Linked DNA regions of Notamacropus eugenii. The protein of the gene in region 2 binds, or shares a complex with, the protein of the main gene of each other region. Links are inferred from orthologs where the notes say so. Each region holds a gene or a part of one and is shown on either strand. Other genes may lie near its edges.

Region 1 (8,293 bases), about 320 Mb from region 2:
AGGTGGTCAGTTTTAAGACATCAATACAACCTTATTCAACACTCCTTCCCTGTTCTTACTGACTCCTTATCTAATTCCCCATAGTCACTGTTCTAAACTTCTCCTCTCTCCTCAAGCCCCCAATCATACACATAACCTCAGCATTTACAACAGGTAACAGCTTTCTACTTTACTGAGAAGATTAAGGCTATCAAATGGGTTGTTGTCCAATTGTTTCAGTCATGTCTGACTCTTCGTGACCCCATTTGGGGTTTTCTTGGCAAAGATACTGGACTGGTTTGCCATTTCCTTCCCCAGCTCATTTTACAGATGAGGAAACTAAGGCAAACAGGGTGTGGCGACTTGTCCAGGGTCACATAGCTAGTAAGTGTCTGAGGCCAGATTTGAATTCACAAAGATGAGTCTTCCTGACTTCAGTCCCATCACTCCATCCGTTGTGCGACCTAGGTGCCCTATGACATTGGAGTGCCTTTAAATTCCCTCTATTACTCCTCAAAGCTTCTGAGCATCAGCACCCATTCTATCTTCCTCCCCTTCATTTTCAAAGGAAGATATATTTATTTTTTTACTAAGGCTAGTCTTCTAGCCAGTGGACTTGATCCCATAACCTCCTGCCTCTAGGACCTTATTCTCGAAATCATTCCTTCTCTCTCATGGATTTTCAATATCTCCCTTTCCACACATACTCCCCAATCCTAGAAAGCTTTCCCTTGACCCTTCTATCCCATCTAGCTACTGCATTATCTTTTCATCCCTTCAAAGTCAGACTTGATCCTCCTGCAATCTGGCTTCCAACCACAGTATTCTATTAAAACTGCTCTCTCAAAGGCCATCAATGTCCTTGACCTCTCTGAAGGATACAGCACTGATTGACACCTTTCCTATATAAATCCCTTTTCCTCTTCCTTTAGTTTCAGAAACACCACTGTCCTGGTTTTCCTACTTCTCTAGCCACTCTTTTGTCTCCTTCCTGGCTCCTCAATCTCTTCTCAGCTCTTTGAGGTATGGAAAGGGAGAGAGGAGGGTGCCTGATGAGGTTTTGCGCTTAGCCTTCATCTTGATATGCTTTCTCTTTTGGCAATCTCATTTACTCCTATAGAATTTCAGAGATTAGGTAAGTCACAACTTTTGAATGCCAGAAGTAACATACTTGAAGAGTACTAATTGTAGAAAAGTTGCTGATAGAGTAAATATCCTCAGCAGAAGTTCCCTATATGAATGAAATCAGAAATGCCAAAAAAAACTTTTTTAAGAGAGTGGTGGTAAAGGGCGAGAAACAAGGAACTATTCTTGGCCCTAGAGATACCGACTTAAGAAAATTAACAGTCCCTTCCTTTAAGGAGCTTATAACTTACCAGAGACTATAGCATGAATACTACTAAGTATATAAAGTAAATACAGAGTAAGATATCCCCACAAGTACTCATCCAGTCTCTCTGGGAGAGCTCCCAAGGGGCAGAGCCTAATACTTCTTGAAGTAGTCCATTCCACTTTGCACAGCTCTAAAACTGGTAAGTTATTCGTCACCTCAAGTCTAAATTTGCATCGTTGAAATTTCTACCTTTTGCTCCTAGTTTAGATCCCTGGGGCCAAAGAGAACCCCTGATCCCTCTTCCATGTGACAGTCATTCAAATACTTTATGATAATTATCACATCTCCCACATGTACACCTTCTCTTCTCTAGACTAAACCTCTCCAATTCCTTCAAATAATTTTCACTGGACATTAACTTGAAACCACTCAGCATCCAAGGTGTCCTCCTTTGGATTCTCTAATTTGTCATTGTCCTTCCTTAAAAAGTGGCACCTAAAACAACTTATTTTGGAGAAGGAAATGGCAAACCACTCCAGTATCTCTGCCAAGAAAACCTTAAATGGGGTCACAGAGTCAGACACAACTGAAAATGACCGAGAAACAGAATTTAGCAGTATAGCTATCATAGAAAAATCCCAAATTGATCATCTCTACCCTTCATTTCTCTCCCAGCCTCTGGTGTCTACAAATAAGATCTTTTTCAGATCTAAAACCTGTAAATTGCCCAAGGGACATCTGCCCCTGAGTGTCCCGACAGCTGCTCAAAAGCAACATGCACAAAACTGGAATGACATCTTAACTCTAAAATCTGCTCCTCCTTCCAATTTCACTGTTCCTATCAAAACCTTGGTGTTATCCATCTTTAATTCTTCCCTGTCCCTCACCTTCCGCATCCAATCAGCTACCAAGTCCTGTGCACTTAATCTTACACAGCCCCCGTTACCACCACCCTAGATTGTTACTCTAGGTCTTTCCCCTTAAGCTCTCCTCCTTCACACTGCCATCAGATTCATCTCCCTTATCATGGAACACAGACCACAGTCAGGGAATTAGAAGTCACTGAGAGTGGATAGGGGAGGAACTGGTCCTGGAGTCAGAGAACCCAGGTGCAAGTCCCAGCTCTGCTGCTTCCCACCTGCACGATCTGGGGAAAGTCTTTCCACCTCCCTGTGCCTCAGTTTCCTCTCCTGCGAAATGAGAGGATTAGAGCAGATGGCTCCTGAGGTCTTCTCCAGCTCTAGAAGTGCAGGAGCCCTCCTCATTTTACAGATGAGGAAACTGAGGCTCAAAGAAATCTAAGTGATTTACCCAGGATGGCACGGCTAAAAAGCGTCTGATGTGATTTTTAGACCCAGGTTTTCCTAAAAGGTTTTGCACCAAGTTTGTCCATGGATCTCCCCGACGCAGCTGGTTAGGCCCCGCCCCCAGCTCCACCCACTTCCACTAAGTCCCTCCCAGCCCCGCCCCTAGCTCGCCAGGCCCCACCCCCAGCTCGCCAGGTCCCGCCCGCGCGCACCGCGGCGCGAGCCAGGATGAAGATGGCTTCCTGGCCCGCGAGTGTCACGTCTGGGTCCGCCTTCACCAGCGCCTTCACCCGCGCCAGGGGCAACCGCGACAAGCGGGGTGCGGCCGACACCGCCGGGGCCTGCGGAGGAGGGGCCGCCGCCGGCGCTGCCTCTCCACTGGGGCCCTCCTCCGCCACTGGCGCAGCCGTCGGGCCGATCGACCCCGCCGCCGTGGCCGCCGCCGCCGCCGCCATCCCGAGCCCCTGTGCGTGCCGCGTGCGCGTTCCTCTAGCCGGGGCGCGAGCGCGCGGGCGCCTGTCCTTTTCCCGCCCTGGATCCCCTCTGGCCCCGCCCCTTCTTGCCGCGTGTCAGCTCCAGCCCAGCCCCTACCACCTCCAGGGGAGCGGCTGGGCTGCATTACCGTATTTACTGGTGGCAGTGGCCGAATCCTCCTCCAGTCGCTTTTTCTGTCTTATCGTCCTGGCCCACCTTGAGGATCAGCCCACCGCAGGACGCCTGGGTTTCTCAACCATTTACGAAAATTCAGCCGTCTGCGCTAAATGCTGAGTTTAGATCCCAGGCTGAAACCTGAAAGGGTCCACTTCCTTGTTTATTCATTCATTAAACCCCAGTTGGCACAGGGGGAAACTGAGGCCCGGACTAGGGGAAATGATGTTCAAGGTCACATAGCAAGTCAGCGTCGGGGGAAAGATTTAGAGCAAGGCCCTTTCCACCGCACCGAATTGCCCGACAAAACAACGCCCTTGCCCTCCTGGAGCTCACGGCTCTGGTAGAGGGTCGAGAAATAAAAGTCAATTGTTTTTAACTGTACGTAAGGGCATGGGATAGGTTCTAAACAAAGTGCTGTGTGAGATGCCAGCGCCAGGTCGGTGGGGAGGGTCGGAAGGTTCAGGGAAGACTTGCTGTATGGTCTGGCCTTAAAGGAACTAAAGTAAGGATACATTGTTTCCAGGCTCGGTGAAACTTTCCACAAGTGCCCAGCTCAGGTTCTCCACCCTACGGAGTGACTGTGTGTCAATCCAAACCCTCTGAGCTTCTGCCCAGTGCGGAGGTCTGCATGGAGAGAAAACCATGTGGCCATCAGGAAGCCCATGAGACAGGTTCTACACAACACCTGGAAATCTTTCAACCAGCCCAAAGAAATTAAGCGCCAATGGAGCCCCTTGGGTGCTGAGCAAACAGAGAAAGTGGTGACCCTGCAGGAAATGAATTTTGAGGAATGTCTTCTTTCATCTCTTAGACCTTCCCACTGTTACAAATTTCCTTTCCTGTTTCTATCTCCCGCTGATGGGCTGCTTGGGTGCTTGTGCTTGGACCCCAATTCCAAGATCACATTTCTCCCTAGCTTCAAAACGTTATCCCTCACGGTTTTCTCTCCAACCCAAGGACACTATGCCTAGCAAGAACTCATGAGTGGGTCGCAGTAAGACGAACTATTTCCCCCCACAATTACTCATGAGTGGACTCCAGTAAAACAATCTTTCCCCATCACAAGAACAAGTTGACCTCTGAAGAAATTCTCTTGTAAAAACAGGACTATCTTGTAATCACAGAATTATCATGTATCAATCCCAAAGTTATTATATTCAATCCACAGGTCAAACTACACACATCAATTCTCAAAGCTATCTTACTAGAGAGTAACAGACCAAAAATACATTCCTGAGAAACCCCTTCCCCTGGTTTCCAGTAGTGGATGACCACAGTTATAAGTTGTAAATTGGCCTATGATAAAGGTTGTAAATTATCACCTAATTAGCATATCTGCCAGATAATCCACTACTTTTCCTATGTAAACTTTAGCATCATTCATGCTAAATTGCAAGTTTCTTAGGGAATACAGGTTCCCTAAAGGACTCTGCCCAAAGCATTACAATAAACCTTTGTCACCTTGACTTAAAGAATGCTTGAGTCCAAGAATTCATTACAGACAACCCTTTCCTGCACTTCAGTCCTTAGGGGGGAGGGGGTGGTCCCTAAACCTCTTAAACCTGCCGCCACCTTCTTTTGTTCTTTTCATTGTCCTTTAATTTAGCATGGTTTAGGGGTGCAAGCACTAGATATAAAGTCAGAGGACCTGGATTCAATTTCTGGCTCTACTGTTTGCTGTCTTTGTGACCTCAGAAAAGTCTCTGGGTCTTAGTTTCCCCTCTGGATAGAACTGCTTTGTAGGCACAAGAATTCTCAGGATATACAACACCTGAGGGTTTACCTCTATTAACATCAACAGGAAATCATACCTTCACAAAACTTATGTGAAAACTAGGTTTATTACAAGAAGAATGAACATGCATATGAAAATCAAAGCAAGAGCAAACAATTCGCAGTCCTTACAAAAGTTTTCATTTTGATAATATAAGGCCAAAGGGAGGAGGTGATACCAGGAAGGGGAGTGACATGGAGAGGGCCATGACATCAGGAAGGTGAACTTAGCCGTATTGTAAAAATGTAAGAAGTTCTGTGATGATATGCTTTATGAGTATTGAGGAAATAATGTTACTGTCTCAAAATTTTCATTAACATCTTCCATATTTTTTTGATCTGTTGCATATTTATAAGGTCAGCCACAAACTAGAGGTATTTTTTTCAGTGCAGGCTTCTTTATTGCAATAAATGACTTTTTTTCTTTTAAATTTCTTTGCTGTACTGAAAACAAAGAGGTCAAGGCCGTTAGAACACCCAGCCCTTAAAGGCTATAGTCTCATAGCATCAAGCCTCAGATGGTCCCCGGCACTTCCCAGATCCGTTTTTCACATAGCCCAGGGATCAGGATATTCAAGTAAGTAAATGACCCATAGGGAATTATTATTTAACTCATCTTCAATCAGTAGAGTTCAATCAGTAAAGCAGATATCCAAGGCATAGATTTAGAGCTGGGGGGGACCGTAGAGTCAATAGTCCATAAACATTTTTGTTGTTCAGTAGTTTCCAACTCTTGCAACCCCTTGGACACCAGACCCTTCTGTCCTCCGCTGTCTCTTGAAGTGTGTCCAAGTTTGTATTCATTGCTTCAGTGACATTATCTATCTCATCCTCTGCCCTCCCCTTTTCTTTTTGTCTTCAATCTTTCCCAATATCAGAGTCTTTTTCCATGAGTCCCATTGTCTCATCATGTGGCCAAAATATTTCAGTTTCAGTGTTTGACCTTCCAATGAATAACCTTTAAATGTTGATTGATTTGATCTCTTTGCTGTTGCAGGGACTCTCAAAAGTCTTCTCCAGCACCATGATTGGAAAACATCAATTCTGCGGAGCTCAGCTTTCCTTATAGTCCAGCTCTCACAGCTATATGTTACTACTGGAAATATCATGGCTTTGACTAATAGGCCTCTGTCAACAAGGTGATGTCTCTGCTTTTTAGTATACTGTCCAGATTTTCCATAGCTTTCCTTTCAAGGAGCAAGCATGTTTTAATTCCATTGTTGCAGTCACTGATTGCAATGATTTTTGAGCCCAAGAATATAAAATCTGACACTGATTCCATTTCTTCTCCCTCTATTTGCCAGAAACTGATGGGACCAGTTGCCAAGATCTTAGGGATTTGGGGTGTTGTGTGTGTGTGTGTGTGTGTGTGTGTGTGTGTGTGTGTGTGTGTGTTAAACTTTAAGCCAGCTTTTACACTCTCCTCTTTCACTCTTATCAAGAGGTATCTTAATTCATCTTCACTTTCTGCTATTAGGCTGGTATAATCTGAATATCTGAGATTGTTGCTATTTCTCCTGGCAACCTTAATACTGGTTTTTGATTCATACAGCCTAATATTTCACTTGACATATTCTGCATATAAGTTAAATAAATAAAGTGACAATATAAATCCTTGTCAAACTCCTTTTCTAATCTTAAAACCAACCAGTTGTTCCATGTTCAGTTCTACCTTGCTTCTTGGCCCACATATAGGTTCCTCAGGAGATAAGTAAGATGATCTGGTTCTTACATCTCTTTGAGGACTTCCCACATTTTGTTGTGATCCACACAAAGGCTTTAGTGTAATCAATGAAGCAGAAGATATTTTTCTGGAAATCCCTTACTTTCTCCATAATCCAGTGAATGCTGCAATTGATCTCTAATTCCTTTGCTTCTTTGAAAACCAGCCCGCTCTTGCCCAGTATCGTATTGGATACTTTCTGACCTAAGAGGCCAGATGTCATCTCTTTTATCTTAGTACTGTCCATGGGGTTTTCTTGGCAAAGATCCTGGAGTGGTTGACCATTCCCTTCTCCAGTGCATTGCCTGATGTCAGAACTTTCTACTATGACCTATCTGTCTTGGGTAACCCTGCATGGCATAGTACATACTTTCAGTGAGCTATGCAAACTACTCCCCAGGGGGAAAATAAACGTTAATAAGTGGTTAAACACTGGTGATACAGATAAGAGAAAGAAAAACAATCCTTGTCCTCAAGAAGCTTATATTCTAATTAGGGAAGAAAATGGCAACAAATAACTGAAGGGAGACGTTTGTGGGGAGGGGGGTTATAATGATCTTGGAGTCCAAACCAAGCAGAGCAATTGATAAGAAATAAAATTAGCTGGAAGATTTTGAACCCTCCTAAAGAGAAGTTTGTTGTTGAATCATGTTCAACTTTTTATGACCCTATTTGGGGGTTTTCTTGGCAAAGACACTAGATTGGTTTGCCATGTCCTTCTCCAACTCATTTGACAGATGAGGAAACTGAGGCAAACAGGGTTAAATGACCTGCCCAAGGTCAGATACATGTCTAAGGGCAGGCTTGAACTCAGAAAGATAAATCTTCCAGACTCTAGGCCCTGCACTCTAGCCATTGTACCACCTAGTTGGGAAAGCAATGTTTGAGGAGTTTATTCCTCTATCCTCAGCCCTTCAATCAGAGGGGCTGCACCTATATAAAGTAAATTTTAAAATATATACAGTGTAAGGGATAAAGATCTGTGAATTCGTTGGTCTAGTGAACTGCCAGATGGGAAAGCTCCTTGTACCATCGTAGGCTGGTACAGATTCTGTAGATTGTAGTCTTAGAATGCTGCCTAAAGCTTCCCAGAAAAAGACTTGGCAACTAATTAGAAATTGAGGGAAAGCGAAGAGTCAAGGATGACCTGGAAATCACAAATCTGAATGACCAGAAGAATGTTGGAACCCTCAACAGAAATAAGGAAGTCAGAAAGAGGAATGGATTTGGAGGGAGCAATAATGAATTCTATTTCAGACACGAGAAAGATGGCAAACTAAAAGAAAAAAAGTTGGAAATCTAAAAAGAAAATAGATTGTATGCAAAAATGACGAAACAGGAAACCAGTTGCTATAGAATATAAACAGACAACATTCAAAAGATCTTTAAGAGTCTAGGAAATAGAATGTGTTCTGTACAATGTATTAAAGGTAAGAAAGTTTGGGGATAGGAAAAAAGTGTGTAAAGAAGAGGAGACAGTAACCTACCTGGTCTCTGAATGTAGTATGTTAAAAAAGACTTGGAACC
Region 2 (8,093 bases):
CTATTTCTTGACTTTTAGCTTTGTGTTAAAGTTGGGTTGTGTTCCCAGCATAGAGAGAACACTGTTCCAAACTTCAGATTTTTTGTACTTTTGTTTTCAGAGCTAGTTCTGGGGGTTGACAAGTTTTCAGTTCTTCCAAGGTGGTATGGTTTAAGGAGTGGTGTGATGTGCTCTCCTGGCCTGTTTTCTGGTTTGTAAGTGACCACAAGCTCTCTTTTATACCCTGGAACTGTATCCAGGGTCTCTGCTTCTGCTAGTGCACCTCCTAATCCTGAGACTATGACCCAGAACCATGTATGGGCAATGCAACAGAGGCCGCCTCCAGGGCCAACAAAGGGTGCCCTGAAATGTCCTTTTGACCAACTATCTGAAAACCCTTACCATCTGTGGACTAAGAACTCTGGAAGCTACAGCCCTCAAGACCTGCTCCTGACTTGTTGGGGCATGGCCTGTACTGGTGCAGCCTATGCTAGACTTTTCTCCACTCTTACCCCAGTGAGATAGATCTTTCCTATCAACCTTCTGAGTTGTCTTGGGTTGGTCAATTATTTCACCCCTTTCTTTTGCTGGTCCTGCCACTTCAGAATTTGTTTTGAGGCATTATTTTAAAATTGTTTGGAGGGGAATTTTGGAGAGTTCAGGTGAATTCTTAGCCTGTACTCTACCATTGTGGCTCTGACCCCAAAGTATAATCTTGAAACAGTAGCTTTATCATTATAATTCTGAATAGCAGAATTGGTGTCCTTACTCTCAGAAGTCATATCCTTGACAAATTGATCCTATCTTAGGAAAGAGAATAAGTTTTTCAGTCCTGAAGTTTTTTGGCCCTGGCCTTTAATAATACTTAGCCAGTAAAGATGGACTGTTTTTGGGCATGGTTATATTCTTTACCTTTTCTATCCCCAGTATGAAGCTGCTAAGAGTTTGAGGTCCCAATGGTTCAGGTTGTCCTCACTTGGAAAATTGTTTCATAGCATGTTTAGACAATGCCTCCTCAGAAAGGAATTTGGAGGACCAAGGGGTACAGATGTTGAGGGGTACCTTCCTTTCCAATGCCAAGACCAACAGGCCTTTCATCTTCTCTGACATTGACACCTAAGGTCTCCAGTACTGTTATCTGTCCCATCTATGTTACCTAAGGATCCCTGGTTTTTTTCATCTGTCTCATCACCCTGAGAACTTCTGGGCCTTTCTATGTGCCTTGTAGCTGAACTTTCTTTTCTGTTGTCTCCTCTTATTACAAGGTAAGGTCTTGAGAGTAGGAACTGGATTACTTTTAATATCTATAACCCCAAACCTCAGCACAGTGCTTGGCACATAGTAAGCATTTCATAAATCCTTTTTCATTTGCTCATTCATGGGGAAAACCACCTCTACTTAATTATAGTTAATGTGAACTTACATAGAAGAAAGTGAATCCCTTAGTTGACTTGGTAACAATATTGTGTTCCTAGATGAAAGTGAGGAAGAGTCTTTTCCCACTCCCCGTGAAGGAAGAACACAGCCCCTCAGAAGAATCCTCTAAAGGGGCAAAGATTCAGGATTGCCCTTCTCCCCCATGGTGCTCCTAGGGAGAGAGAGGTCCTGGCTAGTGGGCCTAGGATCACTGCGTGGGCTGTGATATAAAGCAAATCTCTATATCAACTTTGGCCTTGGGATAGGTTGCCTATAAGAGGTAATACTTAGCTACCTTAGTACAGATGATCTAGATGGTATGGATAGAACTCTGGGTCTGGAGTCATGAAAACCTGAGTTTAGATTTGGCCTAAAACACTTATTCACTGAATAATCTTGGGCAAGTCAATTAAGCTCTATCTGCTTCAGTTTCCTTATCAAATTGCAAATAAGTTATCCTTATCAAATTGCAATTGGTCTCAAAAGGGGACAATAATTGCACCTACCTCCCAGGTGTTATGAAGATAAAATGAGATCTTTGAAAATGGTTTGCAAACCTTAAAGTATAAATGCTAATTATTATTATTGCCCTTACAAAGGAGGAAACGTTCAAATCTGAAAGACAAATGGAAGGAAAGAACTAATACTGTACACCTACGTTCTGGTTCCACAGTCTTACCTGGCTTGCCTCACAGCAAGGATACCCCTCTCCTTTTGGGGGAGTATAAAAATAGCCAGTCAGAGATCAGTCTCTGGAAGAGAGAGTGGAAGGACAACCCCTTACGCCCTGCTCATCACTCTCTTTACTTATATCTATGTGTATATGTATCTGTCTATATATTCATATATATATGTGCATACTTGTAAATATATGTGTGTGTTTTAAGGTTTACTAAGGAGTATGTAAACACATAAAAAATAGCAAAGAAACTCATTTATCTAAATCCTAGCAAAACAGAAATCAGAGAAATAGGTGAATACATATCAAACAATATAGAGTGAAAGAGCTCTTCCACTGGGAGTGAGGTAACTCAGCTCCACCAAGACTGTCCTTGATCTCATCCAAGGAGAAACTCACTGTAGTCTCTAGTGTAGCAAGCTGGAGATAGGGACATGATGAAGACTGCCGTTTCCATTCATATCTTCTCAGAGTCTTTTCCTTCAGCAGCCTGAGTTGTGAACTGCCTCTCCCATTTTTCATTTCTAAGTGCCAGAATCACCCACAATGACTCAAAGCTTGAAGACCAGAAGCTTGATAGAGGGCTCTCACCTGAAGAGTCTCTGAAGAATCCTAAAGGAGGACTGGTAAAGTCCACACAGGGCAGGGCATGGATCTCCATGAATAAGGCGAGTGTCCCCTACCAATCAATGATCTTTGGAACAGGGGTTTCTTGCTTGTTGTCAATTCAGTTATGTCTAGCTCTTTGTGACTTCATTTGGAGTTTTCTTGGCAAAGATACTGGAATGGTTTGCCATTTCCTTCTCCAGCTCATTCTTACAGGTGGGGAACTGAGGCAAACGGTTACGTGACTTGCCCAGGATCATACAGCTAATAAGTGTCTGAGGCCAGATATGAACTCAGAAAGATGAGTCTTACTGACTTCAAGATCAGCACTCTTTTTCATTCAAGGATATACATTGATATTCATTGTCCTCAGCACCATGCCACCTAGCTACTGAGAGAATTTACACTTGTAAATTTACATGGTTTGTACATAGTTTGTTTTCATGTTGTCTCCCTCCCTCCACAAATAGATTTTAAGCTCCTTGAAGACATGGACTTTTAAATTTTTCATCCTTTTTTATAGTAAGTGTATAATTCATTTTTTAAAGTCTAGACTTGATTATAGTCCATATGTTTTCAATGGAGTTTAAATCAGGTGAGTTCCTAGCCCATTGACTTCAACGTTTATGTACATCTCTTAGACAAATTTCTTGATGTGTTACATTGTAAGTTGCAGTATTTTATCTCCATTGGAGAATTTCTGTAATTCTGGAACGATTCTGCTTTTTAAGCACACCAATCTATTATGGTTCATAATGAACAGGGACAAGATTTCCAGCTTCGCTATAAGTTAAAAAAAAATCCCCAAAACATTTTTGGTTGTATGTCTTACAGTCTAATGAAGATCAATTAACAAGTATTTATTAGGAGTCTATTATGTGTGCTAGCTATTGATGATAAAAATATGAGTGAAACAATCCCTGCTTGCAAGCAGCTTACAGATATAGGCTCACCCAGACTTCTGACAATGGTTTGGTATATCCTTGAATGAAAAAGCAAATTTCACCAGCTAAAAATAGGTTTTTTTTCAATCTTTAGCTTGGGATGAGCCTTTATTCCTTAATAGCAGTGGGATGAGCCTTTATTCCTTAATAGCAGTGGTTAGTAGCTTTCCTTCGTGCTTCTGTTCATCTGAGCCTGGTTCATTGTAAGCCTGAATGATCCTTTACCTCTTCACCCCAACAGCTACTGCAGTAACTAACAGCTGTTGAAGTGTTCTCTTTAAGAGCCGTACCTTTTCCAAGTTTTCCTGCACTAATATCCACGCTTGGAAGGAAAAGTTAAAGATGCACCAAAAGAGAGCAGTGACACTGACATAGTACAAGCTATCCAAAGCCCAGCTGAAGAAGAGTCTGGGGAAGGTCGGAATTTTTAAGCTAGAGGGAGGGTAGCAGACCGGAAGTAAGCCTACTGCTCCCTTAAGCTTTGGTCTGGGAGGTTGGATCGGACTCCACCTAACTAGCTAAATAACACCTCGTCCTTTCTGTGGCGAAGGGGGTTGTTGGCCTACTGTTAGAAGCTCGTTAGACCACGGCTGTCCCCACATACGGAAAAGCTACAGGTCGTCCCAAGTCGTTAGATGCCAGCTCCTCAGGCGGGAGGGGTCTAAGCCCCAGCAGGCGGGGTAGCGCCCCGAAGGTCGTCGTGTTCAAGGTGGCGGCTGAACTGAAGTTAGAACAAAACAGCTATTCTAGAGTCGCAAAGGTGAGGACATGATAGTGCCTTCCAGGTACAAACAGCTTAGCGCCGTGTCTCACTCTTTTGAAGTCCAGGATGAGCCTTCCTTTAAAAAAATAAAAGTCTGGCTAGTAGCTGACCCTAAAACCAGCCCGTTCCAAACGCATGCCTTTGTTAACATCGCCAGAGGACTTTTCTCTTAAAGGGGGAAAGGAAGCGCTTCCGGGTCAAAACGAACCGAGGGGCCACCAGACAGGGCGCTGCAGCGCTCCGTTCGAGGCCACGGGGGCTGGCACAACTTCCGGGGAGGGGCGGGGCTGGGGGCGGGTCCTGCGGAAAAGGAGGGGAAGGCGAAGGAGGCTGGGCCGCCTTGGCGCCAAAATCCGAAGATGGCGCCGGATCGGTTGCGGAGCAAAGTGGTCTCTGCCTTTAAACTGCGGGGCTATCTGCTCCGGGGGTGAGTTCTCTCGGGGCACGTTTGGTGAAGGGGGGGGGGTGCGGGAAGGAGGCGGGTCCGGACAACGCCCGGGCCCCCCATCTGGGCTCGGCGCGCCCCAGCCCGGGCTGGGGAAATCTGAGTCCGACTTCCCGAGGAAGGAGGGAGATGGAAGCATTTATTAAGCGCCCACTGTTACCGGTGCTGGCCGTACAGAGCGAGGCAGAGGACAAGCCCTGCTGTCCTAGATCTTCCAGTCTAATGACAGGAAGCGACAGGTGCGGGATAAACGGAGGTGATCCGCAGGGCCGAGGGAGTGCAGGGGCCGTCTGCAGTGCAGGGGTCTGAGCTGAGTCTTGATAGAGGTGAGGAGGCACTGAGTACAGACTGTGCAAAGGCGCGGATTCCGGAGACGGAGAGAAGCCAGTGACGCCGACAGGTAAGGCGGGCCAGGTGGTGAAGGACTTTGAAAGCCAAACAGGATTCTATAGGTCAGGAAGTCACTGAGTTGTAAGAGGACAAACTGGCCAGCCATATTCCATTTTTTAAAAAAAATATATTTATTTTTAGTTTACAACATTCAGTTCCACAAAGCTTTTGAGTGTTAAATTTCCCGCCCCCTCCCTAAGACAGCGGGCAATTTGATATAGGCTTTACATATACATTCGTATTCAACATATTTTCACATTAGTCATGTTGCAAAGAAGGATTAAAACCAATGGAATGAGCCACGAGAAAGAAGAAACAAAAAAAAAAAGGGAGAGCAAATAGTGTGCTTCGATCTCCTTTCAGACTCCTTAATTCTTTCTCTGGACGTGGACAGCATTTTCTATCAGGAGCATTTGGAGTTGTCTTAGAACCTTGCATTGTGAGAAGAGAAGAGCTAAGTCTATCAGTTGGTCATCACACAACCTGGCTGCAGCTGTGTGCAGTGGGTCAGCATTTCTTACAGCACCATAAGATCCCATCACATTCCCCTACCACTGCTTGTTCAGTCATCCCCCAGCTGATGGGCATCCCCTCGATTTCCAGTTCTTGGCCACCACAAAGAGAGCTGCTATAAATATTTGTGTACATGTGGGCCCTTTTCCCATTATGATGTCTTCGGGATACAGAGAAGTGGTATTGCACTTTTTTATAGCCCTTTTGGGTGCATATATATATATAATATACATATATATATATATATACACTAATTTAAAAAAAAAAAAACCTTGGCTAAGCCAAGAAAATGGAGCATTAAATTATTTTACTGTGAACTCGCAAATAACTAAAGAGTTGTATAGGCATTTAAATTTGTGAATTAAGTCAACAAGTGTTTATTTAAATTCTGACTAATCCTAGCACTCTTAGGTGCAATGGGTTAAGAAAAATAGTCTAAAATAGCTCCTGCTCATAAGGAACAATCTTGTTGTTAAGACGAGGTTCAGTTCTTTTCAGCAAATAAAGAGTACAACATATTGACTGCAAAGTATAATGGATAATGTGAGATTGTTTATGAAGGTGCTTTAAAACTGTAGAGTGCTATACAGATGCAAGATATTATTCATAATTGCTTTAAGTAGAACATGATAAAGTATCATAAAAGATACAAAGTACTATGGAAGTTCAGAGTGGGGAAATGTTCTTTCCTGTTGGGATTAGGGGAAACCTTATGCAGGTATTAGAGCTGTGCATTAAAAGGATGGGTAGGATGTGGGGAAGGGATTCTAAGAGGAAGAAGCAGTGAGATAAAATGTATGTATATGTGAAAACATATGACATATTGTAGGAATGGGATCATTTGTCTAGCAGGTTGTGTTTACAGATTAAAAAAAAGATCCAGAGAGGTTGGGTGAAGTGAATTTTAAAAATATTTTTATATCCAGTTTTCATTTTTATACAGAATTACCAAATAGTTCTCTGACCCCTAGTCTAAGTAGAAACTGTTTCTAAAATTCTTTTTAAAAGCATTTCTTTTGACTTTTAATTTTTGTCTGTGTTTAAAATTCCCAGTCATAAGAAATTTGTCTTAAATGCAAAATGTCTAAAAAGATCAAGTATGTTATTTTAAGCTCATTTGAAAAGTCTGTTATTTGATCTACGTCATTTTTTTCAACTACTCTGATTTTCCATTGTATATATAATATCAGGGACATGGGTGATTCAGTGATGCCAACTGAATCTTAGCCATGTCTGTTCATTACATGCTACTCCTATATTCACTGTGGGTAGTCCATCCAATGGTGTAGGAACCCTTACTTTATTCTCTTGATGTTACATGCATTCTAGTGGAGCACATGGGCTGCCTTTTGGTTATCCCTCCTAGTCATTAGGAAATGAATCCAGCCATTTTTTTTTTCTGGTCATACATTTCTTTGATGACTCCTTTGATACTGCTCCTTTTTTGTTTTTTGTTTGTAATGTATTACAGGCTATATAGGCCCATCATCTACCATTTCATCCCCCTTTTGGGTGATCCCCAGTTTCAGTTCTATACAGAACAAATGAATAAAGCATTTATTAAGTGCTTACTATGTGTACTGGGGATAAGCTCACAATCTAATGGGGGACACAGCACATGGAAAGTTTCAGTTGCAAATTAGATGGAAAAATCCTGTAGACCTTAGAGTGCAGTGGCAAAAACAGATGTTAATGCCTCTTCTTTAATGTCATTGGTCCCTAGGTTTTTGGGTTCAGGGTTCTGGAGATGTGGTATTGGTATTTTACGTGAAGTCAGAACTGGATACACATTTTTCTGGAGTGGCTGCAGTGCAGGGGAGAACTGTGAAGCTAGTGTAGATTTTGCAATCAAAGAGGTGATCCAAGGACACTCTCAAGGTCTCTCTCAAGAACTTTGGAATTGATTGTGTGATATGGGAGACACTGACACAGGACCACTCAGCATGGTGTGCCCACATCAGCGAAGGTGCTGTGCTCTATGAGCAAAGCAGAATTAAGACAGCACAAAGGAAGCATAGGAAGTGCAAATTTAGAGTGTCTACCACAGATGTTCACACAGACTCTCTGTGCCCAATCTGTAGTAGAGCATTCCGAGCTTGTATGGGTCTGATCAGCCACAGTCGGACACATTGAAACTTGACTTTATCATAGTGATATCATTTTGGTTCTATTCAAGGATGAAGGTCAACAACCAGCCAACCATCCTGGCAAATATCTCTTCCCATCTCTCCTTCAGGGTACCTTTCCTGCTTCATCAGCTCAGGTGGCTTGCCTACCCTGTGGGTGGAGTTGGCGGGAAGGTACAGAGGCCCAGCCCCTCCTTCACAGGAGTTGCTTCCCCAGATAATGGCAGTGAGG

The links. Proteins that work in one complex are often made in the same cells at the same time.
Region 1: POLE2 (region 2) and POLE4 share a complex: the UniProt entries of both Homo sapiens proteins name them as parts of the DNA polymerase epsilon complex. The link is inferred for Notamacropus eugenii from reciprocal best matches to the Homo sapiens genes POLE2 and POLE4.

What each region holds. Positions count from the first base shown.
Region 1 is NC_092872.1:630,209,957-630,218,249, forward strand, and holds the start of POLE4 (DNA polymerase epsilon subunit 4), read right to left. Parts: upstream 3,122-8,293; 5' UTR 3,075-3,121; coding exon 2,832-3,074; intron 1-2,831. UniProt on the Homo sapiens protein: Accessory component of the DNA polymerase epsilon complex. Participates in DNA repair and in chromosomal DNA replication.
Region 2 is NC_092872.1:309,331,484-309,339,576, forward strand, and holds the start of POLE2 (DNA polymerase epsilon subunit 2), read left to right. Parts: upstream 1-4,688; 5' UTR 4,689-4,746; coding exon 4,747-4,814; intron 4,815-8,093. UniProt on the Homo sapiens protein: Accessory component of the DNA polymerase epsilon complex. Participates in DNA repair and in chromosomal DNA replication.